7 linked regions of the Cricetulus griseus genome follow. The protein of the gene in region 1 purifies or fractionates together with the protein of each later gene. This does not show direct contact. Links are inferred from orthologs where the notes say so. Each region holds a gene or a part of one and is shown in the gene's direction. Other genes may lie near its edges. The genes, in order: Yap1, Patj, Amotl1, Amotl2, Rpl14, Wwp1 and Gsk3b.

Region 1 (3,500 bases):
CTGCGTAAGAAAGACAGACACAAACACACACACAGGTACAGGGCCCAGACACAACTGAAGACCTTTCGCTTGTAACGATTCCAATATGGACACTTGTGTGTCCCCCCCTTCCCTGCCCCTGCCACCTTGCAGCAATTTCAGCTTAAAAGATGGGATCATTTGAGCTCCAGACACCCAGCTCCAAGTTGAAATTTGCTGGGTGGAAAAACTGTATGTCAGAACCTGAAAGGTCCTTGTGTATATTTCATTAACTAGTCATGGATTCCAGCTTATAAGAAGGACAGAAGAAGCCAGGCGACCAGAGTAGGAAGAGTCTGGAGTATGAAGTGTAGTGGGAGAAGAGGTCATCCAAGAGTGGGGGGGCACCCATCATTACAGTCACTTCCCACCAAATGGCTAGCATATCAAACAGCGGGCTTCATTATGACTTTCATATGTGTATGTTATGTGCTTTCCTCATATTTCACAACGGGAGAAACCATATGATACCTGGTTTGTGGGTTTCTTTTGTTTTGTTTTTGTTTTTTTCAGTTCTTTTTTTGCTTGTTTCACTATATTGACCTCCATTTTCATGTGTTTCCTTCGTGGCTGAATAAAAGCCATTGTGCGTATATATCACGTTTTCTTTATCTACCTACACATCTGGCTTACTGGGTCTCCACTTCTGCCTCTGCTGTTGTGAATAACCCAGCATAAACATAGATGTGCAAGTGTCTCTAGGAATTCAATCCCTCTGTTTCCCCAGGGTGATGCAGCTGGTCTGATGGTCCTTCTGTTTTTAATGTCTATGTTGTGCTGATTTCCATTGTGGCTGTACTAATTTACATACCCTCCAGCATCATGTAAGGTTTCCTTTCTTCCCTACCTCAGCATGTTTGTTTTCTTGATAGTCATTTGAACGAGTTGTGGGTTGTTTTGTTTTCCCTTTTAGTTTTTCAAGACAGGGTTTCTCTGTGTAACAGCCCTGGCTGTCCTGGAACTAGCTCTGTAGACCAGGGTAGTCTTGAACTCACTGAGATCTGCCTGCCTCTGCCTCCCAAGTGCTGGGATTAAAAGCCTATGCTACCCAGCTTTGAACTAGTTTTGATCTGCATTTCCTTGGTGGCTAAGGAATGGAGGTTTTATTAATAATGCTTATCAATAGTAAAGGAGAATTTATTGCATAGCTTGTCATAATATATAAAGGATCTGTAATAATGAATATAAATAGTACTTATGAAGTAATAATATATTATGGAAATGTCTGAGTTATGGAAATACTGATGAAAAATCAGACCCACAATGAATACTGTTATTGTCCATTCATAATTAAAGAAAATGTAAAATTTGCATTCATATTTGCCAAAAATTTAAGGTAATCTTTCCCTTCCACGTTGTCACACAAGTTCAAAAACCTGAATCTTCAGGCACCTCTAGTTATGGAGCTCCAGTTTAAACAAGGAAATGAACAGAGGGTATAAATAAGCCTGGATTAAAAAAAAAAAAAAAAAAGTGGGTTTACAGAGAGGAGAAATCGTGGAAGTGGCTGTGGAGAGAACGGTTTTTCTGGCCCTGGACACTGCAGGGATGACGTGGGTGGGAGGAGCTGGAGGAAGGGTGTGCCTTAAAGGCAATTGCAGAGGGGCCTGGCAGTGTCCTTTGTGATGCCCAGAGAAGGCCATATTGCAAGTCAGCTAACAAGTAGGCAGAGGGAGCCTGTGCTCAAGCAAGGGTGGTGGTTGCACAGGAGACATAGGGGCAGAGTAGTGACGGCGTCAGTGAGAGACCCTGGCCGAAAACTCTGAAACATCTCCTGGCCAGATGCCCAGGTGGGATTCTCCTGAGTACTGTTGGAGCCCTGTAAACATGTCTCCCCAGAGGAGAGGACACGGCTCTGTCCAGCTTGGGGGAGGGGGTCCCTGAAGTCAAGGAGGCTTGATGGCAGGGTATAAACACTGCTGGGGCTGAGGGGAGGGTTGTGTCTGGCAACAAGTCATCAAATGTTCTTTCTGTTCTGTTTTTACTGCTGGCCCAAACCATTGAGAGCTGGTAAGTAATGACAAAATCTAAGAAGAATTGTCTAAAGCCAGGAAGGGTTTGGGGGTCTTTTCCAATAAAGAGAAATGAAATGTTAATGTTAATTATGCATGTTTGGGGATTAGTACAAGTAGGCAAACTGACATGTCTGCAGCTTAGTTTCTTTCTAGTCATTTGAAGTATATAGAAGAATTTGGTTATTCTGATTAAGAAACATGTTAGCTTTAAGGAAAACATTAATATTGTAATACACTACACCCCCCTTTTCATTGTGACACTTTATCTCTTTTAATCTAACAATAAATTTGTTAATCAGCAGACTGATCCTCTCTACATTTGTTTATTTGTTTAAGGAATTAGCTCTCCGAAGCCAGTTGCCCACACTGGAGCAGGACGGAGGAACTCAGAATGCTGTGTCTTCCCCCGGGATGTCTCAGGAATTGAGGACAATGACAACCAATAGTTCAGATCCCTTTCTTAACAGGTTAGTAAGAATGCTGGCCAGGACCTGGAGGATTGTCGCTGGCGTCATTGCTCTGTTTTGTGCTTGTCTGGCTGTTTTGAACGTCTATGTGAGCCATAACCCATAGCTGTCAGCCATCTCCACAAATGCCAAGTGCAGTCAGAGCTGAGGGTTGAAGGGGCCGAATCCTGGACAAGAAGACGAACTGTTCAGGCTTGTGGAAGGGATGTGGGTCAAAGCCCCAACATGCTTGCATCTGCCTACACTCTATGCTAACATTGCTTAAAATGGCAGTCTTCAAGAAACACGTGAGTGCCTTCCCCATGAAAGGCATGGACAGCATCTTATCCCCTGAGCTGGAACTTTCCACATGGCTAGCTATTCATGTAAAGCCTCATCTCATACTCTTTAAGGCTCTCATGTAAGGAGGTAAAATATACAAGGCTGTGTCCCACCCAAAACCATAAACTTTGGTGGCATTATTTTAAGCAATACAGCTTACAGGCACCTCGTAATAAGTGAGTTCACAGTCCTTGGGGTCTGGACTTCAAGTGGATGATACACAAATCACTGTGTTGAGAACTGTTTTTTATTTGCAAACCATTTTAATTAATATTTAAAACCTACCCTGCTGTTTTAATTTTGCTTTTTAAGAGAAATTAGAATACTCTCTGGGCTAGACTCCCTCCTCCCATAATGCTTTTAAGCAACAAATTTTTCCTTCCTCCTCCCCTTTTTTTTCCTCTTCTGTTTTGAGTCAGGATCTCTTTGTAGCCCACATCAGTGATCCTCCTACCTCAGCCTTCAAAGTGGTAAGATTTACAAGATGGAGCCATCATGCCAGCTTGCAACACACTTGTAAAATTGGTTTAGGGAGCCTGGCAATGGTGGTGCATGCTTTTAATCCCAACAGAGACAGAAGGATCTCTGAGTTTGAGGTCAGCCTGATCTACAGAGCTAGTTCCAGGACAGCCAGGGTTGTAACACCCAGAAATCCTATCTCAAAGAAACAAATACAAAA
Region 2 (3,500 bases), on another chromosome or scaffold:
AAAACTAATATAAATGCTGCTGGTTGAACTGGGCTGAACATAAGCATGCTTCTGGCATAACTGATTTACTTTCCCTTTTAAAAAGTGTTTTGCATCAAGAGAATTTAAAGAAATTTATGTACAAAGTAATTGAGAGTTTACTGTAGGGAAGGGTGTTTGTTTTCAGCTTTTGTCCAGCCCAGAATCTGTCTCGTAAATGTGGATGAGTTGTAAAATGCTTCTCAATGCTGTTTCTGTAAAAGGTTTCTAGAACCAGCATATTACCAGAACACTGAGCATGCTTAGACTGACAGCGATAACCTCGGAGAGGTTGCTGTGTGCTGAGCAGGTTTGGTTCTGTGGAAAGGTGATATTTAAATGTACACCATGTTTCTTTTTCTTTCTGACTCCCCCCTTCATTAGGGCCGGCATGTTGAATATATAGATATAGAACGTCCTTCTACTGGAGGCCTTGGGTTCAGTGTGGTGGCCCTGAGAAGCCAAAGCCTGGGATTAATTGACATCTTTGTGAAGGAAGTCCATCCAGGGAGTGTAGCAGACAGGTGAGAAAGTTCATTTTGTACTTGGTTCATGTTTTTCTGACAGCTCTGAAAATGTTGTTATAAAGAGAGTAAGAAACTAACAATAACAATAGTAACAATAGGACCTAGTGCTGGTTAGCACTCTAGAGGTTCCTTAACCCCGCCATCTCCACATGTACCTACTGTTATGTTTGGAGAGTTCTGTACAAGGTCTTTGTCTCTGTGATTTCTAGTCTTTGGTTTCAGATGTTCCTGGTAGAAGATAGCAGTAGTGGCAGGGTCTGATTACAAAATTCTGTCAATAAGTTTTTCACATTCATTTTCTCTGATTATAGATGATTATTTCTAGTCTCTTTAACTCAAAGTTTAAAATAATAGATGTACTGAGTTATAGTATGAGTAGTATAAACCTTACCATTTTGAAGTGATGTTTAATATAATACTCAGTGTTTTACGATCATTTCCATATTCTAGAAATAGTAAAAATTCTAGAAATTTCATCAACTAGAAAAGGAGCTCCCACCCTGTTGTATATGTTGTTAGTCACTCCCAACTTCTTCTTTCATCTTCTGGCAACAACTTGCTTTTTTAAAACAGCATCTATCTGTAAAGTTCTGGACATTGTGGGAAGTGCTGGTATAATATATTGGTTATTCTTCCTGACTCTGTATTTGATGGTATGATTCATGATGCTCTTCTCTATGATATGAGAGTGAGTCTTCCTTGCAGCTTGACCTTCTACTGTGTTGTCAGCGAGCCTCTGTCAGTGCACAGATGTGTCCCTAAATTCAGCATTTACTTCTCAGTTCCTTTAAAAGATGATTGTGAGATTCAGTCTAAGTTCATTTTGGTATAACAGAATGCCTGAGGTTTTAGAACTTGTGATGAACAGAGATTTATTGGCTTACTGCTCTGGAACTGAGAATTTCATGTTAGGGTTTTACGACTGGCTTGGGCTTCTTGCTGTTTCATCACGTGGTGGAAGGCAATAGGAAGCAGGGCAATAAGGAACTAAACTTAACTTTTGTGTATACACCAGTCTTGTACATGAGTGGATAGTCCCTGATCATCCCTTAGAAGTCTCATGTCTTGATACTTTACAGTAGAAATTAAAATTTCCACAGGAGTTCAGAGGCATGGACATTGAAACCATAGCAGAAAACTTTCTAAATACCCTGTTGACATCTTGTCATCTAAAATGTTTCCTCATGTGAAACCGAAATTGAATACATGTAACAAAAGTCATATCAGCCCCTCTGAGACATGTTACCTGGGGCAGAGTCTATTTTTACAGGTTCATTAGTTAAGGAAGTATTGTAGTTTGAGGCTGGATGTTGCTCTTTCTCTCCACCTGTGCAGTCTTGCTCAAGTGATTTAATTTTTCAAGTTTCAGTGTTGTGTAAAACAACAGTATTAACATGAGATAAGATGGTGTAAGAAGCATATGGTACTAATGGAGTTCCTGATTCGTAGAACAATGCCAGAGCCAGCTCTGTGTGCATGTTCAGGTTGTCAGTACCTAAAATACAGTCTGCTTTTCTTGTATGACCAGGGATCAAAGATTGAAGGAAAATGACCAGATTTTGGCCATTAATGACACCCCATTGGATCAGAATATTTCCCATCAGCAGGCGATTGCATTACTACAACAAGCCACTGGGTCTCTTCGTCTGGTTGTGGCCAGGGAAGTGGGCCACACACAGGGCCGTACTTCTACCAGCTCAGCTGATACCTCTTTGCTTGAAACGGTAGGTTATAAACTTGGGAACATATTCATTCTAAATTATGTTATTCACTATAAGAATAGTTGGGCCGGGTGATGGTGGCACACACCTTTAATCTCAGTACTGGGAGGAAGAGACAGATGAATGTCTGTGAGTTCAAGGCCAGCCTAGTCTACAGATTGAGTTCTAGGACAGCCAGGGCTGTTATACAGAGAAATCCTGTCTCAAACAAACAAACAAACAAACAATCAAACACCAAAAAAGATTAGTTGGTAGTCTTTGGAAGTCCTTTCCATTATTCTAGGTCAAGAAAGGTGATCATATCTCTTTATGGCAACATTATGAGATGTTTACTGGATAGTTTTTCTTTTCTTTTTGTTTTGTTTTGTTTTTTGTTTTTTGTTTTTTTGAGACAGGGTTTCTCTGTAGCTCTGGAGGCTGTCCTGGAACTAGCTCTTGTAGATCAGGCTGGTCTCGAACTCACAGAGATCTGCCTGCCTCTGCCTCCCAAGTGCTGGTATTAAGGGCATGTGCCACCACCACCCGGCAGAGGAATTTGATTTATTTTTGTCTTTTTAATATCTGGTTGGTTACTTTATTAAGATTATTATTTAATATAAAGACCAAATTAAATATTATTTTTAACTTATTTGGTGATAAGATGTCTTGTGATCTTTGATGTCATAGTGAATTAATGTGTGTGTAGGGGGAGAGGGAAACCTGCTATGTAGCCCAGGATGGCTTTGAATTTACAATTCCCTTGGTTCAGCCTTCAGCCTCCTGAGTGCTAGAATTATGGCTGTGTGCCACTGTATCTATGAGACTCAGGTTTTTATTAGAAGCTTACTTTTGACTGTCTTAAGGAAGATGTGAATATTTATTTTAAGTATCTCATATTTGTGAATTATAGTGGAAGTTTATTACTAGATTATTGATTTTATAAAGTCATTGTAGACACTTTTTCAAAAAAGTTTAAAAAGAAAAACAGATGTCAATTAAAAATGCATGATTCTTCATTGGTATTTACTTTCTATGAGCCTTCCCTTGCCCCAGCTCCCTGAAATCTTTGTAACATTGTGCTAGTCTTTCAGCAAATGTATATTCATTGGCTCCCTGTGCACCCTGTGCTAGGTTGTGGGCACAGATTGGGAAACGTTTCTTGTCCTTTTTGAGTTAGTGTGGTATGATCTGTGTATTTTGGTTATTTATGCTTATGTTTTCTATTAAATTATAATACCCTTATGAGTGGGGCTCT
Region 3 (3,500 bases), about 5.7 Mb from region 1:
TATTATTGACAGGAAGAACATGAAATGTCTTAGGAGGACAAACCTAGAGCCCCTCTGTCTTAGTTAGGTTTCTATTGCTGTGAAGAGACAGCATGACTGACCAAGGCAGTTCTTATAAGGGTGGCTCACTTACAGTTTCAGGTTCAGTCCATTATCAGCATGCATGGTGGCATGCAGGCAGATGGGCTGGACCTGAGAGGGCTACATCTTGCAGGCAATAGGAAGTTGACTGAGGCACTGAGCAGATTCCTGAGTATAAGAAATCTCAAAGCCCACCCCACAGGGACACACTTCCTTCAACAAGGCCACACCCATTCCAACAAAGCCACATCTCCTAATAGTGCCATTCCCTGAGATTATGAGGACCAAATACATTCAAACTACCACACCCTCAGAATACCACTCCATTGTGGGCCATGTCTGCAACTGCTCCACAGTGTGTCTACACCTGTGGGACGTTAAAAAGCTCAAGCAAATAATGGGGAAAGTGTGCCCAGAGAATCTCCATCAGGGACAGGAGCCTTCCTGTATTTTATAGGCAGGATGTTGAGAATTATCCAGGAGTGCGTCTTAGCTGAGTGGTACCCTAGGGTAGACAGGCTGGGCCAGTGAGCTTGGAGAGGAAGCTTCCAAGTCTTCTCTCCCTTCCTCTGCTTGCTGTGACTCCAGGAGGCTGGCCTTTCTTTGACATCTGTCTCTGGCTCGGCACATCATTTCTCTGCTCTGCCAAGAGTCAGTTTTCTCATGTGCTGATTTGTCCTGCAGTGTATGAGAGCTTCCATATGAATCCACAGGGCTGGGGCGGCGGGGGGGGGGGGTCAAAGCCTCAAACAGCACGTCTGTTTGAAGTTCCTCTACAGGTGGCCTCTATAACCTCAGCTCATCCTAGAGGATTCATGGGGACAGCAATTATGATAAAGGCCATCCCAGGGACACTTAGCTCCTAACCCAGTAAGAAGTGGGTCTGTCCCCCAGAACATGGATGTCAATAAGGAGGCCTCTGCACTCCAGGGAGCCTCTGGTAGTGGATTAGTATTTTTCCCTGGTGCAAGAAGGGACTTTGAGAGCCCATCCCATATGAAGGGTTACACTCTGGCCCTGGACACATGGGGAAGGGCCCAGGATCAGCATAGGAAGACTTGGTGGACTTTGCTGAGCTCCCGTTGAGGGCCCTACCCTGCCTGGGGAGTAGTGGGTGGATGGGGTTGGGGGGATGGGCTGGGGGTGGGGGAGAAAGTTTGGGGGTGAGGGGAGGGAGAGGGAGAAGGGACTTGAAATAAGCTTGTTCCCTAACTAGAACTAATAAAAAAAAAAAAAAAAAAAAAAAAAGAAGTGGGTCTGTCTCAGGAGTCTGAAATTGTTCAGTTCTTATGGAGACGTCCCTAAGAGAAATCTGTGTGGCATTCACCCAGGTACACATTGTCGGTGCCTGGGCTTATGTCTCAATGTTACCAGGTCAGCATAAGGCCTGAGAGTTGGACACCCTGGCCTAAGGAAGACTGGCCATGTTGTGTGCACCAGTGTACCTCCTTGTCAGTGTAATTAGTGCCCACATGTCAGTCACAGAAACAGGGGTTGGGGGGAAGCTCCGAGGTTTGGGTGGAGTTTAACTTCACAGGCTCCTACACAGGACCTCAGGTTTTTCCATCTTGTGCATGACGGACTTGAAGAGGTGATGGAGATAGCAGTATCCACCTTCCTAATGTTGAGCAGCTCCCAGGAGAGAGATTTATTCATCTCAACTGCAGATCACTGTGTCTGAGTCTGGGCAGTGATGAGATGGCATTCGGGTTGGCAAGGGTCTTTTTACCTTCTGAACTACCCCAACAGTCCAACTGTGGTTTTCAGTTGTTTGAATTTAGAATACAAATACCAAGTCTGTAAAGAATTTAATTGCATGGGACTCAGGACATAATGTAGGACTGTTTCTCACTTCATCAGGCATGCACCCAAGTGCTTATTTAGGGTTTAGTGAATAAATCATCGAATAAATGAAGTCATCTCCAGTCCAGAAAGAAAAAGATAAGTTTCCTTGAAAAGCCACTTCTTTTTCCCTTCAGGGTTCCTGCTGGGGAAGGAGCATCAGGGACAGGCATCTGCCCCTCTGCTGCCAACCACACCTGCCTCTGCACTGTCCCCTCCTGCTTCCACCACGTTGGCCAGCAGCACCCATGCCAAGACAGGCAGCAAGGACAGCAGCACACAGACGGACAAGAGCACTGAGCTCTTCTGGCCCAGCATGGCTTCCCTCTCCAGCAGAGGCAGGCTGAGCACTGCCCCATCCAACAGCCCCATTCTGAAACATCCAGCTGCCAAAGGGACCATGGAGAAACTGGGTATGTGGCCCCTACGTCTACCATGCTTGGAGACCCCATGAGACTGTGTGACTTGAGGCGGGGAATCTAGTGCAGAGCTGTAGAGAGATCAGGAAGCCCAGTCTGTTCCTGTGTTTCAGTAGTGATCATCACAGTTACTTTCAGACTGGGGGTGCTCTTTGTTGCCATGGGACTAAAGTGTGGCCAGATAAGCTTAATTCATTATTGAAGAAGGGGAGCACCCAGCCCGAGTGACTTGGTGACATGTGTGTTCTACCCTTCCCTAGGGGGAGGTAGAACAAACACTTGGTAGAAGTAACTGAGGAGGGATTTACTGTGGGCTCATGGTTTGAGGGGACAGTCCATCATGGTAGATACAGCATGGTAGGACTGTGAAGTGTGAGCCTGCTCATTCACATCTAGGCAGACAGGAGACAGGAATTTGGGTCTTTGTCAGCTTTCTCCTTTTTTAATTTTTACTCAGTCTAGAACCCTAAGACACTGTCTTCTCTGAGAGCCACCCACCAGTCCCTCTACATCTCCCACTGCGATATTCTCAGGCTCCCATGAGCACACCAAGATGCATGAGACTCTTGGGCAGGCCAGGACATTAAAAATGCTTCTATGATAGAGAGTGCATGGAAAACCCAGGCACAAGGTTGCTGATGTTTGCCCTCTGTTTGGCAGAGAACTCTCCTGGTCATGGGAAGTCGGCAGACCACAGAAGCCGCGTGAGCAGCTTGTTGCACAAGCCCGAGTTCCCGGATGGGGAGATGATGGAAGTGCTCATCTAGCCTCGTCCTGTGGATTTTCACACCAACATGCTGACAAGAAAAGGGGTTGGAAGAAGGTCTAGATGGTAGCAACTACAAAGCCAGAGCAGGTGTGGACGCTTCATAATGTTACCAAAACAGCCGGCTCACAGGACTGCAGAGGGAGGGAGAGAAGATGTATACAGACTTGGAAGCAGAGTTGAGAATAGGAGGGATTGTCCATTGTAGAGAAATAGTATGTCTGGGGAGGCCCCATACTTCCCCTATTCTTGGTTTATAAACAGATGAAGAAGAGCTGGGCCTTCCTTGGAATCACCCCATTCCCTTTGCCTCTTAGCAGGTTTGGTTTAAGAAGAATCTGCTAGAAATCCTCAAAACCTATCTTGGCATAATATAGTATTTCTGTGCCATC
Region 4 (3,198 bases), about 89 Mb from region 1:
TCGGGGACATTGTCTTCTATATCCTGTTGTATCCATCACCCTCCTTTCTTTCCTACAGACCGTGTACCGGCAGAGGAGCCCCCGGCCACAGCTCCTCTCCCTACCCACACCAAGCACGGGAGCAGAGATGGAAGCACTCAGACTGATGGCCCTGCAGACAGCACCTCTGCCTGCTTAGCCTCAGAACCCGAGAGCCTCCTGGGGTGTAGCAGCCAAAGGACAGCCTCTCTGGGTAAGCACCCTGCCCCCACTTCCCCTGACCCGTATATTAGATGGGGGCTGAACTGGAACACGTGTTTTCTCCAAACTCATCCTCCATGGGAAGCCCCATGGTATGAACCAAGGGTTGTTGGAGGCATGAAACCCTCAATGGGAGGCAGACCTATAGTTGAGAAAGAAAGCGCCTCATCAGAAGGCACTGTGCCTCCTCCAGAGTTTTCCTCACATATCCTGCTGGTCCAGATTTCTAAGATCATGGAGCTTGACAAGTGACCCTGATGGTGATCTTGAGTTGGGAAGCTATTGGAAGAGCCCAGAAAAGAGGAACTTGAGAAGAAGCCTTTTTTCCTTCTAGTCTGATCTCACATTTACCCTTGCATAGCTGCCTGTGTGCGCCTCATGATCTCAGAAAACCACAGGCATGACAAGAATGCTACAGCCTGCTTCTAACCCTGGGGGCACCCCTCCACTGATCACTCTAGCCAGTTCAGAGTCTAAACACAGGCATACTTCCTGAGCCATCTAGGCCCCAGCCGACGGGAGGGAGCAGAGCATTGGGCTTAGTTGACCAAGTTAAGAGGAATCTGAGGACTGGGACAGATTAGGGGAGGGAATCTGATGAAGAAAGATCCTTTCTTACTTAAAATGTGTTGAGCTGAATAGAACAAGTGGATAACACTCACAGCATAGACCTGTTGTCTTGTCTTTCTCCAGACTCTGTGGCTACTACCAGAGTCCAGGACCTGTCAGACATGGTGGAAATACTGATCTGAAGGAAAGAGGTGGTGCCTTGGGGACCCTGACGCCTGGCTTCCCCCTGGCATTCCAGCGGTCGTCAAATGCTGCGCCTCACTTTCTCCAACCATTGATAGTGTGGTGCATGAAGCTCAGAGAGGAACCCTAGAGGGGACCTAGAAAAGTCTGCAGCCCCAGAAGACTGCTTCTTGGCCCATATTCCTCCCATGCTCATGAGGAGGGAAGAGCCAGATTTCCCCTGCTGCCCAAGGTCTGTTGCTGGAGGAGAAAGGAGCTGAGCCCCCTCTGTCCTGCCCATTTGTATTCAGGCATGAAGGGAAAGGGAAGTGGATTCTGATTCCCAAGGATGGCTGAGCACCGATCTGGTGGTCTGCTGGAATAACCAGGCCAGCCATGGTGTTCTGTGGTTAATCGAGGCCCCAGCCAATCCCATCTGCTCTTCACTTCCTCACTGCCTTCTTCAGATCACTAAGACTGGGACTATTGGGAGTGTGAGTCTTTTGGGAACCACCAGCATGCCTCTCACTTGGAGAAGGTTAGAGGCCATTTGAGAGGCCTGCGGAACAGTGTGTTTTGTATATAATTCTCCTTCCTTGGGAACAGAAGACTAAGCATGCTGGTTCAGAGTCTCCTTCCAGGGCTGTGCTGCCTGCCCCCGCTGCCACGGTTCTTGAAACATCTGATGGGTCCACCAGATGTTCTTCCGCCTCCAGTACTTGGCTATGGAATTTGATACTGGTTGCCCTTTCTCCATTTTAAACCCCTGTGTTCAGTGCCCATGGGACTCTTGTCACCAGCCTTTCTGAATGGCTCCACAGCTCCTGTCCCTGGGACATCCTGTCCGTTTGGTTATAAACTGAGCCAGATGCAATGAGCCGCCACATGTGGACATCTTTCATGCCCAGCACCAGGTTCTCTTTGAAGAAACTGGAGAGGTTGTTCTCATAAGTGTGTTAGTTCCCACCGGCAGGGACTGGGAGAGGAAGCTATGCTGTTGAAAAATGGATCAGTGAGCTTAAAAAGACAAAAGTCCTCACTGTGGTGCCCCGTCACAAAAACGGCACCCACGAGGCTGGCTCCTCAATTTCTGGTGCCCCAGCCCTGAAGCAGGGCCAACTACTTGGAATTGGGTGAAGTATCCCCAACTGGCAGCCTACCAGCAGCAGTGACTTTGACTTTGGTCTTAAAGTAACCCCCATTCAGCTCAAAAAGCGATTGGTGGGTTTCAGAGCTTTTGTGTTTTCTCCTTGAATCTTTGGTTGTTTTGTTTGTTTTTCTTTCACTGTTTTCAAGTTCTGTTTGTTGTTTTATTCCCATGGTTCTCTGAGTTTCCTTTTTAAACATTTGCATTTGCTGGGCAATTGCATATTTTTTTAATTCCCCTACCCCTGTGTAAAGCTAAAAAAATACATCTGGTTCATGTGCATTGTTTACAAAGATAAAAGTAAAAAAAAAAAAAGGAGGGAAAAAAGGCAAAAAAAAATTGTGAAAGAAAAAAAAAACAACTTAATATATTTTGGATTAATATTTGGTATTTCTTTAAAGTATTTTTTGTTGCTGTGAACATTTTCTGCCAAAGACCATGACGTGTGTCTGTGTGTTTAAGTTATCATGAATATTTAAAGTGTAAACATGGCTGTTTTGTTACGCCACCCTGTACCAGGATTGCTGTTGCATTCCACTGGGTATGACAGTATTTTAATAAAAAAAACTTACAAGGAGAGATGTTTATATATTTATTCATTTGTTTATTGGTTGAGACACTGTATGGATCTGAGTCTAAGTTTGCCTCAAACTAGAAATTCTCCTGCCTTGGCCTCCCTACTGGTGTCTTTACAGGTGTGTGTGACCCACAGCTACAAGACTGGTTATTTGCAAGGATAAGGAAAGGAAAGAAGATGAATGTTTTAAAGGGTCACCCATGTCCACTCTCTTCAAGGATATTTTGTGAAGTGGCCTGAAGGACACTTGAAATGGCATAGCTGTCCCCATTTCCACACATGTGCACTTTCACAGACACCATCTATGAGAAGGGTAGACAGGGTGGGGCAGCTGGCTGCCTTTCCAGGTAACTGTCCTAACCAATTTTGATTTTGGTTGTTGTAGTAGGAGTGTTGAAACATTACCTACTCTGTCCTCTCACTAGCACACAACCTCTTTGCTAAAGGATCCAGGTGCCATGTGAACCCTGTGATTGGACACATGAAGTGTGTATTCCAGAGT
Region 5 (4,298 bases), about 110 Mb from region 1:
AAAGACAACACTGCCGGATGGCAGCTGGTGACATAATCTGGCTGCATCGTCATGGCAAAGTCCTGTAAACCAGAGGACTTCCCCAAAGTGTACTCACTAGACCACTGGATGTTAAACCATCTCAGTCCTCCCTCCCTGACCTGGGTTCAATTCTCTGGTTATGTTAGAGCCAGGGAACTCTCATCAAGAAAAAGGGGTTTTCTTTGTCTTTAATTTTTTTTTAAGTTAATACACACTTAGGGGAAAAAAGGGCACAGCTGCGACAGGGAGATCTTTGTCTGCAAAAAGTAAACACTCTTGTATCATACTGGCGGGATGAAGGGACAGCATGACCAGAACTCAGAAAGCTTGCTGCCCCTCCAGCAACTGTGGTGTGCGCCAAGGAAAAGGAAGATGGGTTCTAGTTTTTGTTGTTTTGCTTTGCCTGTTCCCACGTGTGCACCCGCACGTTCAGCTGTGCCTGCACCGCTGTAAAGCCAGTAGCTAACTTCAGGCATCGTCATTGCTTTCCAACTTTGTTTTTGAGACAAGGTCTACTGTGGGACCTGGAGGTCACCAAAGTAGGCCAGGTTCTTTGTTCAGTGAGCCCCTGGGACCCGACTGCCTCAGACTCCTGAGGGCTGGGATTGCAAGGCAGGCCACTACACCCATTGTACATTCATGTGGGTGTTAAGAGAGTTGAACTTCTGACCCGTCGCTAAGTGCTTTATCCACTGAGACACCTCTCAGAGCTACAATCTATACTTCTCTGACATTAAGGGGTTTGCTGGTTGTGAATTTTATGTAAAATAAAAAAATACAATATATATATATATATATATATATATATATATACTTTTTTTTGTATCTGTTTACTACACTCAGGGTTGTGTGAATTTCACCCAAACTATTCCAAAGTCTCAGAGACTTTGTTGTTGCAAGCCACCAAAAGTTATCCATTCTCTTGCTTCTGGGTCTCCATAGTGCCCAGTCTTGTGCTGGCAGAAAATAAAAAGGGTTGGGCATGGTGGGCCACGCCTTTAATCCCAGCACTTGGGAGGAGGCCAGCCTGGTCTACCTAGTTCTAGGACAGCCAGGGTTACATAGAGAGACCCTGTTTCAAAAACAAGAAATCCTAACCAAAACAACAAAAGAATGAGGAAGGACCGACGCGGCCACTGCACACAGGCCCGCACACGAGCATGAACGAATGCATGAAAGAATGGATGCATGAAAGAATGGGAGATTTCTTCCCAAACGATCCAGCCCAGGATCTGTGGGGGAAGCGTGACGTGCTAAGACCGGGGAACGGGGTCTCGCTGCGTGTTCCCGGCTGGCAGGGGACTCGGGTTTCCCGTCCCCGTCCGGTCGTGCCAGCGTCCGGGAGGCCGGGCTTGGACGAACACCTTGTCGCTACCCAAACCCCAGCAACAGCAGCGGAGAAACGAGGACGCCAACTTCTTCCAGCACGTGTCCGAGAAGACGCCGCCCGGAGGAGGCCCCGCCGCCATGACTTCAGCCACCGAGCACGCGCCAACGCACGCACGGCCGCGTTCGACCAATCGGCGGGCACGCTGGACGTCGGGGCGGAGCTTCCGCCGGCACATGCGCACGGCCGGGCGGGCCTTCTTCCTTCTCGCTGAGCGCCGCCGACATGGTGAGTGTGTCTTGCCCAGGGCTCCGAGAGCGCGGCGGTCGGGGCGCTCGCCCTCCGCCCCGGGCGGGCCAGCCCCGGCGTGGGGTGACTCTGCGCGACCCGGGCCGCGCGGGGGCAGGCGGCGGAGCGTGGAAAATCCAGCCCCGGGGGAGCGCGGCTCCCGGTTGCGTGGAGGCCCGGCCGGGCGAGCCTGGGCCACGCGTGCGCACTGGCGGGGAGCGCGGTGGCGGCGCTGCTGCTGGCGAGCAGGCGGGTGGGCGAGCTCGCGGGCCCCTCCAGTCGTCCTTTCCTACGCCGGGAGGGGGTCCGAGCCGATCGGGAGGGTTTGGAGGATGGGTAAGAGCAAACCCCGGGACCCGGCCACCCCGGGACAGCGGCCGCGGGACATTTTAAGCCAAGCAGAGCGCCGGTTTCCAACGGCACATCCGGCCCGTGAGCGGCTCTGAGCCCTTGTGTTACAGCCGGTAAGCAGCGGACTTGGAACAGTTAAAGCCAACCCCCTGAAGTCGGGCAGTGGTGGCGCACACCTTTAATCCCAGCACTCGGAGGCAGAGGCAGGCGGATCTCTGTGAGTTCGAGGCTAGCCCGGTCTACAGAGCGAGTTCCAGGACAGCCTCCTAAACCACAGAGAAACCCTGTCTCGGAAAATCAAGGAAAAAAAAAAAAAGAAAAGACCAACCCCCGTTTCCTTATCTGTTTCAGGTGTTCAGGCGCTTCGTGGAGGTTGGCCGGGTGGCCTACGTCTCCTTTGGGCCTCATGCTGGCAAGCTGGTCGCGATTGTAGATGTAATCGATCAGAACAGAGTACGTATAAGAGGAAGCGGCCCACAGCCTCTCATTTAACGTGGCTGTGAGTTTTGACGACACCGTAGATGGCCCTCGGGTGGGGTTCTGTAGGTTACAGCTTTCCCTTGGAGGGAACGCTAGACACGGAGTCTGAAGTGCAGAGGAGAGTTCGCTCTTCATAGATTCCCTCAGGAAGTACACTAGGCAGATGTTTCAGTTGGGGTCAAAAATGCAGGGGAGTTCAAAAAAGGTAACGATAAAAGGAATTCAGAGCAGCTGGAGGTAGATTTTGCTCAAGACCCTGAAGTTGGGTGTGGTGACGCCTGTCATCAGCTCTCTGGGACGAGGAGGTAGGAGAACTAGGAGTTTGCCCCCGACTTGGGCCATGGAGCTCACAGGACGCTGTTGGCTTTATTTGAATAGTCATGGATACCCAGTCTTGGAAAGGTCAAGAGATTTTATTGTTTTCGGGCATCTTGACCAGGTTCCCATCTGAGATCCCCGTTTTTGTATTCTAGGCTTTAGTCGATGGACCTTGCACTCGGGTGAGGAGACAGGCCATGCCTTTTAAGTGCATGCAGCTTACTGACTTCATCCTCAAGTTCCCACACAGGTAACTCACTCCCTGTTAGCTGCCTTCCAATTTGGTGCCACTGTCTGCTTTTCCCCTTTAGAATATTCTGCCAATACAGAGGGTTCAGAGCCAACCCAGAATGTCAGCAAACGGACCTTAATTAGTTAGGGTCGCCCAGTCATTTTACCGTCATGAAAGTTGTCCATATTTGGTCTCTTTCCCTTACCACTGTTTTTTCGAGACAGGGTTTCTCTGTATAGCTTTGTAGACCTGGCTGGCCTCTGACTCCTGAGTGCTGGAACTAAAAGGCACGACCACCACCCCCTAGCTCCTCTGTTTTGTTTTCAATGAGAAACTCGGCTCGTTCCCAGAGTGGCTTTGGTGCGTTGCTACCGTTGTTGCTAGAGCAGAATTGTGCTTGTGGCTTCATTGTGTTGGCAAGCACCATGGAGCAGTGGCCAGGATGGCCTGTGGTGGTTTGTTTCTAAGTTGTGTGCTTTTGGTGTTGAGATAGGTTCCTTCTTGTCTTGGCCTACCTTGGTGATGGAGTTAGTGTGTTTTAAGGAGTTACCATGCCTTCCTTTAAAGCGACTATGGTTGTGGTTACAAAGTATTCAACATAAAAAAGCCTGTTTCCAGCTTATGGAAGTAAAGCCACAGAACAAATGCAAATTAGAACGCCTGCCCTGCCTTGCAGTGTGGTTGTCAAGTCAGCAATGTTGGGTGTGCTGAGGCAGCCAGCATGTTTTGAGAGACAGTGTGGTTCAGGGGTGGCAGTAGTTACGGAGTGATTACAGGTGAGTATTGAGGGTTCATAGCAAGCAGTAAGGAAGTTTTGGGTGGGTAAGAAACTTGGCCAAGTTAATGAACAAAGTATACACTGGTGTAAGGAGTGGCTTTTATTAATTACAAAAGGACATGGTTTTATGCACATGCACTATGTAAGTAGTATGTGTGTTCAGACAGGTGATTTTTCCAGTCTTTGGAATTCCCTGGGGGGGGGCATTGTCTAGCCTATGTTTTATGAAGACAACTGAAGCTGATTCATTAATCCACGGTCTTGCTCTTCATGTACATAGTGCCCGCCAGAAATATGTACGGAAAGCTTGGGAGAAAGCAGATATCAATACGAAATGGTCGGCCACAAGATGGGCCAAGAAGATTGATGCCCGAGAAAGGGTAATGGCGTGAAGCCTTGAGCTCTGGAGGGTGGGGAGGGGGTGTGTGCTGACAAACAACAGGAGAGATCATTTTGTTTTCTTTTAACAGAAAGCCAAGATGACAGATTTTGATCGTTTCAAA
Region 6 (4,082 bases), on another chromosome or scaffold:
ATTGCCATGTACATTTTTGAGTAATTTTTGTGCATCATGTGCAGATGCACTGAACTTCTATGTGAGGTTGGGGGCAGTAACTAATGTACCGGAGTAGAAGCCAATGTACATTTGTTCATTCAAAAGGTATTCACTGAGTCCTACAAATACTCATGAATTCTTAGTGTTCTTGATATTCTGTTCTCTCAAAACGTACAAGTACAACGACAACCAAGAGTGAATCAGAAAGGTGGTTTAAGGTCCACAAAAAATTTGGGGCAGAAGTCTTAAAAGGTGATTATGTTGAGAAGTTGTTACCTCTGGGGCATTTGAAGGTATTCTAAAGTATCACAGACAACAGTGGAGAGGTCTTTGAGGCGAAGCCAGGATTTCTGAATCTTTAAAACAAGTGAATTAGTAAGCTCGGGGTGGGTGTAAGTAATTTGTAGGGCCTAGGTGAGTTGTTTGGCTAACTGTACAATGCTGAAGAACTCTGATCTCTTTCTGAAGTAGACTAGTAGGCCATATGGTAAGTAGTCAGCACTGACTTGCATCTGCAGTGTGACCTTTCTCGCAAGAGCAACGTAAATTACCAACAGAGCTTTTTCTAACCAGTTGACTCATTGTGTAATGGAGTCAAGAGAAGCTACCTTTCAGGATTGCTGTGCGGATTAGCTACAGGGACACGGATACTTGACTTGGCTCAATCATCAGCAGCTTTGTTACTGGGCCAGCATGCTGCCAAGGGGGAAGGGAACAATTTGATTTCCAGCACAAATGCAAGTCTTTTCAACCATTTGCTAATGGACCCTAAATCAAATGTTAAGCGAGGTCAAGGAGTGTTCACTCACATCCTACTTTAGCTGTGAAGTGCCGGAGTAAGCACATGAGTGACCGCAGGATCTTCCCTGAGGTTGTGCACGAGGCTCTGCAGCTGACTGAACAGGCCAGGTAAGCTGTAAGCTTCCAGCTTCCAAAGCCACCACCGGCTTCCCGGGGGGCCGCCCCGCCCCCTTTCCGGCTCGGGACCCGCCCCTTCCCTCTTATTGGTTGGCTTGAGTCTCCGCTCGACCGTCGCGAAGACCCGGAGGAGCGGACTAGTCCTCAGGAGGGCTCGGCGGGCGCTCGCTGCGCATGCCCGAGGGCAGCTGGATTCCGAGTCTGGACTAGAGGCTCGGAGCGGCCCCGGCGGGGAGGCGCGCCTGTGCGCGGCACCGGCGTCGCGACTACGCTGCGCGTTCCCGAGAAAGGGAGGTGTGGGCCGGGGTGGGGTGGGGGGAGGGCCGGGTGTCGGCGCGCTTGGCGTGCGGGATCCGGGTGGCTGCGGGCGGCCTGGGCTGCCCGGCCGACGCCTGCTGCGAGATGGCGATCTTGGGCGCGGAGGGCTGAGGAGGCGCCGCCGCGGTGGCCGCGGGCCCCGGGAGCCACAGCTTCGCGCGGGTAAGCACGGTGGGACGCAGGAGGGAGCCTGGAGGGCGGCCGGGCCGGAGTTCGCTGGGGTGGGGTCGCCGGGCTTGCCCCGGGCTGGCCCTGGCACCGGCCTGTGCGGGTGACACCGGAGCCAGGCGAAGTGTCTCGGTGACTGCAGTGCTCAGCCGCCTAGCCGGCGGCTCGCTGGCGTTCCTGCTTCCCTGCCTCAGAACTGCTGCCCTGACTTTCACCCGGATCCCACCGGCGCGAGCCGGGACGCCAGCCTCAGAACATCCTATTCTGACATGTTTTTAGCATTCAGGCTTTCTCTCTGACTCCGCATCTCGTCCCACCAGCACCCCCAGTTGCTACCTTTGGTGACCTGGTAGGTTCAAGTGACCTTGCAAAATTTTTCTAATCCTCATCTTGTGATTTCGGCCCTTTTCTTTAAATCTTCTTTTAAAATTGAAGTGTTTGTTAGGATTGGTACTTTGCCCATCGCCCTTTCAGTCTTTAAATGATCAGTTTTGTGTGCTTAAAGACTGTGTGTCCCTTCCCTTTACTCATCGGTTTGGAGTTGAAGTTCCTCTGCTTTAAGCGGTCATAAGAAACCTTTATTACCAAAAGGAAGGTGTATCTATTACAGTTTTGAAATATTTTACTCTTCCACAATGAAATAATTCATAGCTGTCCGGGTTTTTTTCTATTAGATTTTTATCTTTTTGTGTGTAGTAAGATTGAATTTCTATTCTTAAAATGCTGCAAAAAATATGGTGTTTTTTTTGTTGTTGTTTTTGTTTCTGTTTTCTCATGAAATACCCCTTTCACAGTTGTCTGTAGGATTCTGTACGTTTATGCTTGTGTACAAATCCACTTGACATGTCTCACCATGTCAAGTGTTTGTAACTGTTAGTAACACTCACCTTTTTAAAAAAGACATTCTTTGATTTATCTGGCTTGCTTTAGCCATGAAGCAATATACTTTGACTGAAAATTACCACTTTTTAATAACTAGTTAACATTTAAAATTCAAAGTATAGTGCCAGGTGTTGGGAGCTGTTGAAATTGAGATGTGTAAAGAATGTGGCTTAGTTCTTTGAGACATAGATTATTAACATTTTCAAATAGTTCTTCACATAACATATAAAGCTGCTTTTAAGACACTGTGCTTTTGAAACCCAGGATATGGCTGGTCAGGTCTCTTGCCTTCAAAGAGATGTAATCTCCTCAGTTGCCTGAAATTTCTTTTACATCCTTGCACAGTTATTAAGCATTAACTGTGTGACAGTGTGAGGTTATTTTGGGGTATATATGGATGTAATGATTAGCAGCTTCTGTCTTTACAGCCTAGGGAAGGAAGGTATGCATGTTATATTTACACACAAATGCTCCTTTTATGTATGTGTGAAATGGCAGGATCTCATTATGTAGCCGGATTTGGCCTTGAACTTGCCATCTTTCTGCCTCAGACCTGAGCTCACAGGCCTATGCCCCCATGCCCAGAATACTTTTGTGTGTGTGTGTGTGTGTGTGTGTGTGTGTGTGTGTGTGTGTTTGTATGTGTGTGTGTGTGTCTATCTGTCTGTCTGTCTGTGTGTGTCTGTGTGTGTTTCATAAATATAAACATTCTCTCAATTCAAGTTCAGAAATGAGTTAGGGGCTTCTCGTTTTGAAGTTGCTGGGTTGAAGGGTGACTTGATTTTTCATAAACAGGGAACGGTAATTCAAGAAGGATCTAAGAGGATTTGGATGAAACCTAAATGATCTTTACTTAGGATATAGGGTAAGAAAGCTTGAAATAAAAAACCTAGACCAGTAACAAAACTTATTTTTTGTTTTCTCTAGTTGTTTCTTTGTTTGTTTGTTTTTTGACAAGGCTTTGCTATGTAGCCATGACTGGCCTGGAACTTGCTTGCTGTGTAGACCAGGTTGGTCTTGAACTCATAGAGATCCAACTCCCTCTGCTTTCAGAGCCCTGGAAAGGGGTGTGCCACCACTTTGAACTTAAGAGTATGGTTAATGTCAGACTAATGACTAGGTTAGTAGGCAGTCAGGAGTCCACATGATTTTGGGGTGGGGAGTGAAACAATTTAAACCTTCTTTAGAAGAATTAATTGTGTAGTATGAATTGAGGGAGGAAGAACCTGAAGATTCATAAACCTCAAGATTTCCATCGTCATGGGTAGCAAGGGTCTGAACACATGGAAAGGACAGAGAAAGGAGGATAGAATTTGGTGATCAGGTGAATGAAGACAGTTAAATAATTGGCAACATGACTCAGTGGGTAAAGGACTTTCTGTCAAGCCTGATGACCTAATTTGGGTAATAGTAAGGCAATCTACTCCCAAAAGTTGTTCTCCAATCTTCATACCTACACAGTGACAAAAGCACAGCATCTTCTTCCCTACACAAAAGGCAGAGTTTTGCTATGTAGCTCTGGCTGTCCTGGAACTCACTCCTGTAGACAAGGCTGTCACTGAACTCACAGAGATCTGCCTGCCTCTGCTTCCTGAGTGCTGGCATTAAAGGTGTGCACCAATACGCTCAGCTAAAGTAACTTTTTAAGACAGTTAAAATGAAGGTTCTGATTCAGGTCTTTAGAGAGATAAGTGGTAGCACAGATGTGTTATCCTTAGTACTGGTGCATAAGGTTCAGACTCCTTTGGGGATTAATAATCCTATTTGAAACTAAA
Region 7 (3,500 bases), about 70 Mb from region 1:
GCTGTTTGTTTGTTTGTCTGGGAGCTGAACTTTAAATGTCACATCCTAGGCAGCTGCTTTATCAAGGAGCTATATCCCAAGCCCCCAAAATGCACTTCTGAAGATAGAAAAGTCCATTATTAGTTATACTGAAAGCTAAGTGTCTTGATTTTCTGATAGCCTGAAAATATTATGGTTGTTTAATAACCATTAATGTGGGCCCTAGAAGGTTAAATTGTGAAACTGCTAATGAAGGGAAAACAAGTTAAGTTTAGCATCATCATTGACTAAAAGTAAATTGAGGGGAAGGAAGCCTAGACTTTAAGGTTGAAAGGTCATTTTCCCCTGGCTGTGTCTTTGCCTTCCTGTGCCCTTCCTTACCTCAGATGTTTTCTGTTGTGATTTTGTTGCCTGTATTTATCTCCTGTGTCTGTGACGCTGCTGTCAGTGCATCTCCCAGTGTGGCTTGCTGATTTGAAATGAGTTATCTGAGAGACATTTGAGAGATGCTAACTGTAATTCACTTTAATGTTTTAAGTGTATATACTGTAAAATACTTCAGGAGCAAAGCTGCAATAATATGTAAACAGCATAGCAGGGATGGAATGGATAGGTTCTGAGTCACTTTCCCCCTCAAGTTGAATGCCTTTTTGCAGTTTGTTTAGAAACAGGTGGTTAGATAGCAAACTGACTAAAATATCAAATCATGCATAGGTTGGTTGTGTAAGCCTTGAGCTGGCCATCCTGAGTCAGAAGTCAAATATAAAACAGTCGGCAGTTATTACCCTTTTTAAAAAAGTGTGTTGGTGAGGAGTATTGATATATTCATTTATTCTGATCCACTGTCATTCTTTTGCTGGGGAAGGCTCCTTTTAAATTTCTTGCCCCTTATCTTTATATATTTAATTATTTACTATTTTTTGGGACAGGGTCTTCCTGTGTAGCCCTGGCTGACCTTATAAGTCTCACTGCAAACTGGGTTGGCCTCCATCTCACAGAGACTCAACTATCTCTGTCTCCTGAGGGTTGGGATTAAAGGTGTTGCATCGCCATGCCTTGCAACCATTTTTACATTTCAGAAGTAGAATTTAGGAAACATGGAACCAGAAGAAACTGAACATGTGTATCCTTTTGAACTTTTAATCTCTTTGTTCCTTAGGTAACACTTGACAAATGCTTACTTTAAAAATCACTGTTTCTTATATCAATTTGATGAAATTGTGTATTTCTTTCATTGAAAACAGTTGCAAGTGTGTTGCATTATTGCAGTCTTGTGAGGTTGAGACAAATATGGTGTGTGAATATGAGTATTTGTTTCTTTAAGGTATGGATTTAAAGATTGCTTTTTTTTATTTTTATTTTTTTCATTAGTGCAAAGCAGCTGGTCCGAGGAGAACCCAATGTTTCCTATATCTGTTCTCGGTACTATAGGGCACCAGAGTTGATCTTTGGAGCCACTGATTATACCTCTAGCATAGGTAAGTACTGACTCTGAATACAGTTTATAACTGTTAATTGCACCCTGATTCTTACAGTTTCTCTGACATGAAAAGGGCATGGCTGCAATATATTTTTGCAGAAATGTATACAACTAAATTTTTTTAACCTTTTAGAATTTTATGTATATCTTTCCATTATGCTTTTTTAGCATTAGAATTTTAAAAGTATTTGCATTATAGTTAGCTAATGTATTTGTTTGATCTTAAAGTTTGAAGTAAAGTGTAAATACTGTAACTCTTCAGGTAAGTGTTTTAAAAATATTAATGAGGCAGGGATCAATGACAGGAAGAAATATGCTATATGCAGCTTGCATGTAGCCGTCAGAGGACAATTTTTGGGGTCTGTTCCCTCCTTTTACCCTTATATAGGTTCTCTGGATCAAACTCAGGTCATCAGGCTTGCACTGCAAGAATTTTTATCTACTGAGCTATCTGTGGGTCCTGTATTAGTTTTCTAGTTCTCCTGAAATATTTACTTCTGAGCCTGATACCTAGTTAGAATATTGGTTAATTAATAATGTTACTTTTAAAATGTTAATACTGTAATTGATAGGGCAATAATATTTTTGAATTCCTACCATAATACATCACTTTAGGTTAACTTAATTCATTAGTTGTTCAGCTAAACTTGCTGGTTTAAAAATTTCAGTGGAGGGAGATGTCTAATGATAGAAGGATTCAAGACAGTTGAAATCCTCATTGCCTTTGTGTTGTTCTAGTACAGTTGCTGTGTCAGCACAAAGACCATGACTCGCTGAATCTGAATGGCAAGACAAAACCAGCATTGATAGGCTAGATGAAAAAGGACAAAATTATTTTATTTCATACATTAATTGTGTGAGGGTGGGGAGCTGAGGCTGACATCAGGTGTCCTCTATCTGAGCTGTGAAATGAAGATCATTTCTAATTCTGCCTGCTTTTCATGGTTGCTGGAGGAGTAAAATAAAATGTTAATGAGCCAGTATAAGAATGGAAGGTAACAGACTTTCTTAGTATATTTATTAGCTCAGTGGTCCCCAAGAGCAAATTTTAACTCTTTGTCCTTGGGAATGTTATCGGATATCTAATGATTAGTGTCTTAGTCAAATGTTTGATATTGGTTATCTATGCTCTCTCTCTCTCTCTCTCTCTCTCTCTCTGTGTGTGTGTGTGTGTGTGCGTGCGTGCGTGCGTGCGTGCGTGCGTGCGTATGTATGTATGTATGTATGTATGTATAAGATACTGGACTGAATTATACTAGGCTCACCTAAAATAGTTACAACCAAATTCCTGACACATTATAGAATGTTTGTGTGAGCCAGGGCTTTTGGGACCCTAACAAACATGGATTTGATCCATTTTCAGATCTAAGATTCTTGCTTCTTAAATTTTTAAAAATTTATGTGTATAAGTGTTTTGCCTGCATGTATACCACATATATAAACACATATGCCTGCATTTATGTATGCATACCACTTGAATACTCAGTGCCTGTGGAGGTCAAAAGAGGATGTTGAATCTCTGAGAACTGGAGTTATGGATGGCTGTGAGCCATCATGTGGATGTTGGGAATCTAACTAGGTTCTCTGCAAGAGTAGCAAGTGCTCTTAATGGATGAGCCATCTCTCCAGCCCTGACTAGGTTCTCTGCAAGAGTAGCAAGTGCTCTTAATGGATGAGCCATCTCTCCAGCCCTGACCTTGCTTCCTAAGGCTGTGTAAGATTGATACAGTCCCGCACACAGGAAGAGGTGGACAGATCTCTTGTGAATTCTAACCAACCTAGGGCTACATAATGAGTCTGTCTGTCTCTCTCTCTCTTTCTCTGCAATTCTTTCCCCCACACACACATACACAAAATAGATTTGTAAAAGGTGAATACTTATAAAAATACTTATTTGTTAAAAAATAAAAAGGGTTCAAACATATGAATAGATTTTTTTTTAATTAACATTACTTGGAATGAAACCATCACTGATTCTGACTAAATTATTGCCATATTTGGATATAACCAATACTATGTAATCAAAATAAAATACAAATTT

What was found.
Region 2: the proteins of Yap1 (region 1) and Patj purify together in Homo sapiens (affinity purification with mass spectrometry; 7 studies listed by BioGRID and IntAct, with this or other methods). This does not show direct contact. The link is inferred for Cricetulus griseus from reciprocal best matches to the Homo sapiens genes YAP1 and PATJ.
Region 3: the proteins of Yap1 (region 1) and Amotl1 purify together in Homo sapiens (affinity purification with mass spectrometry; 8 studies listed by BioGRID and IntAct, with this or other methods). This does not show direct contact. The link is inferred for Cricetulus griseus from reciprocal best matches to the Homo sapiens genes YAP1 and AMOTL1.
Region 4: the proteins of Yap1 (region 1) and Amotl2 purify together in Homo sapiens (affinity purification with mass spectrometry; 10 studies listed by BioGRID and IntAct, with this or other methods). This does not show direct contact. The link is inferred for Cricetulus griseus from reciprocal best matches to the Homo sapiens genes YAP1 and AMOTL2.
Region 5: the proteins of Yap1 (region 1) and Rpl14 purify together in Homo sapiens (affinity purification with mass spectrometry, with the first as the bait; 3 studies listed by BioGRID). This does not show direct contact. The link is inferred for Cricetulus griseus from reciprocal best matches to the Homo sapiens genes YAP1 and RPL14.
Region 6: the proteins of Yap1 (region 1) and Wwp1 purify together in Homo sapiens (affinity purification with mass spectrometry; 3 studies listed by BioGRID, with this or other methods). This does not show direct contact. The link is inferred for Cricetulus griseus from reciprocal best matches to the Homo sapiens genes YAP1 and WWP1.
Region 7: the proteins of Yap1 (region 1) and Gsk3b purify together in Homo sapiens (affinity purification with western blotting; 3 studies listed by BioGRID and IntAct, with this or other methods). This does not show direct contact. The link is inferred for Cricetulus griseus from reciprocal best matches to the Homo sapiens genes YAP1 and GSK3B.

What each region holds. Positions count from the first base shown.
Region 1 is NC_048597.1:122,312,175-122,315,674, reverse strand, and holds part of Yap1 (transcriptional coactivator YAP1), read left to right. Parts: intron 1-2,369; coding exon 2,370-2,500; intron 2,501-3,500. UniProt on the Homo sapiens protein: Transcriptional regulator with dual roles as a coactivator and corepressor. Critical downstream regulatory target in the Hippo signaling pathway, crucial for organ size control and tumor suppression by restricting proliferation and promoting apoptosis.
Region 2 is NC_048595.1:51,075,105-51,078,604, reverse strand, and holds part of Patj (inaD-like protein), read left to right. Parts: intron 1-363; exon of another isoform or gene 364-368; intron 369-402; coding exon 403-542; intron 543-2,073; coding exon 2,074-2,269; intron 2,270-3,500.
Region 3 is NC_048597.1:128,045,216-128,048,715, reverse strand, and holds part of Amotl1 (angiomotin-like protein 1), read left to right. Parts: intron 1-2,060; coding exon 2,061-2,336; intron 2,337-3,002; coding exon 3,003-3,109; 3' UTR 3,110-3,500. UniProt on the Homo sapiens protein: Inhibits the Wnt/beta-catenin signaling pathway, probably by recruiting CTNNB1 to recycling endosomes and hence preventing its translocation to the nucleus.
Region 4 is NC_048597.1:210,972,776-210,975,973, forward strand, and holds the end of Amotl2 (angiomotin-like protein 2), read left to right. Parts: intron 1-58; coding exon 59-232; intron 233-933; coding exon 934-992; 3' UTR 993-2,698; downstream 2,699-3,198. UniProt on the Homo sapiens protein: Regulates the translocation of phosphorylated SRC to peripheral cell-matrix adhesion sites. Required for proper architecture of actin filaments.
Region 5 is NC_048597.1:227,644,496-227,648,793, forward strand, and holds the start of Rpl14 (60S ribosomal protein L14), read left to right. Parts: upstream 1-1,498; 5' UTR 1,499-1,633; coding exon 1,634-1,636; intron 1,637-2,338; coding exon 2,339-2,440; intron 2,441-2,940; coding exon 2,941-3,035; intron 3,036-4,075; coding exon 4,076-4,175; intron 4,176-4,265; coding exon 4,266-4,298.
Region 6 is NC_048595.1:132,994,643-132,998,724, reverse strand, and holds the start of Wwp1 (NEDD4-like E3 ubiquitin-protein ligase WWP1), read left to right. Parts: upstream 1-1,282; 5' UTR 1,283-1,419; intron 1,420-4,082. UniProt on the Homo sapiens protein: E3 ubiquitin-protein ligase which accepts ubiquitin from an E2 ubiquitin-conjugating enzyme in the form of a thioester and then directly transfers the ubiquitin to targeted substrates.
Region 7 is NC_048597.1:51,920,621-51,924,120, reverse strand, and holds part of Gsk3b (glycogen synthase kinase-3 beta), read left to right. Parts: intron 1-1,350; coding exon 1,351-1,457; intron 1,458-3,500. UniProt on the Homo sapiens protein: Constitutively active protein kinase that acts as a negative regulator in the hormonal control of glucose homeostasis, Wnt signaling and regulation of transcription factors and microtubules, by phosphorylating and inactivating glycogen synthase (GYS1 or GYS2), EIF2B, CTNNB1/beta-catenin, APC, AXIN1, DPYSL2/CRMP2, JUN, NFATC1/NFATC, MAPT/TAU and MACF1.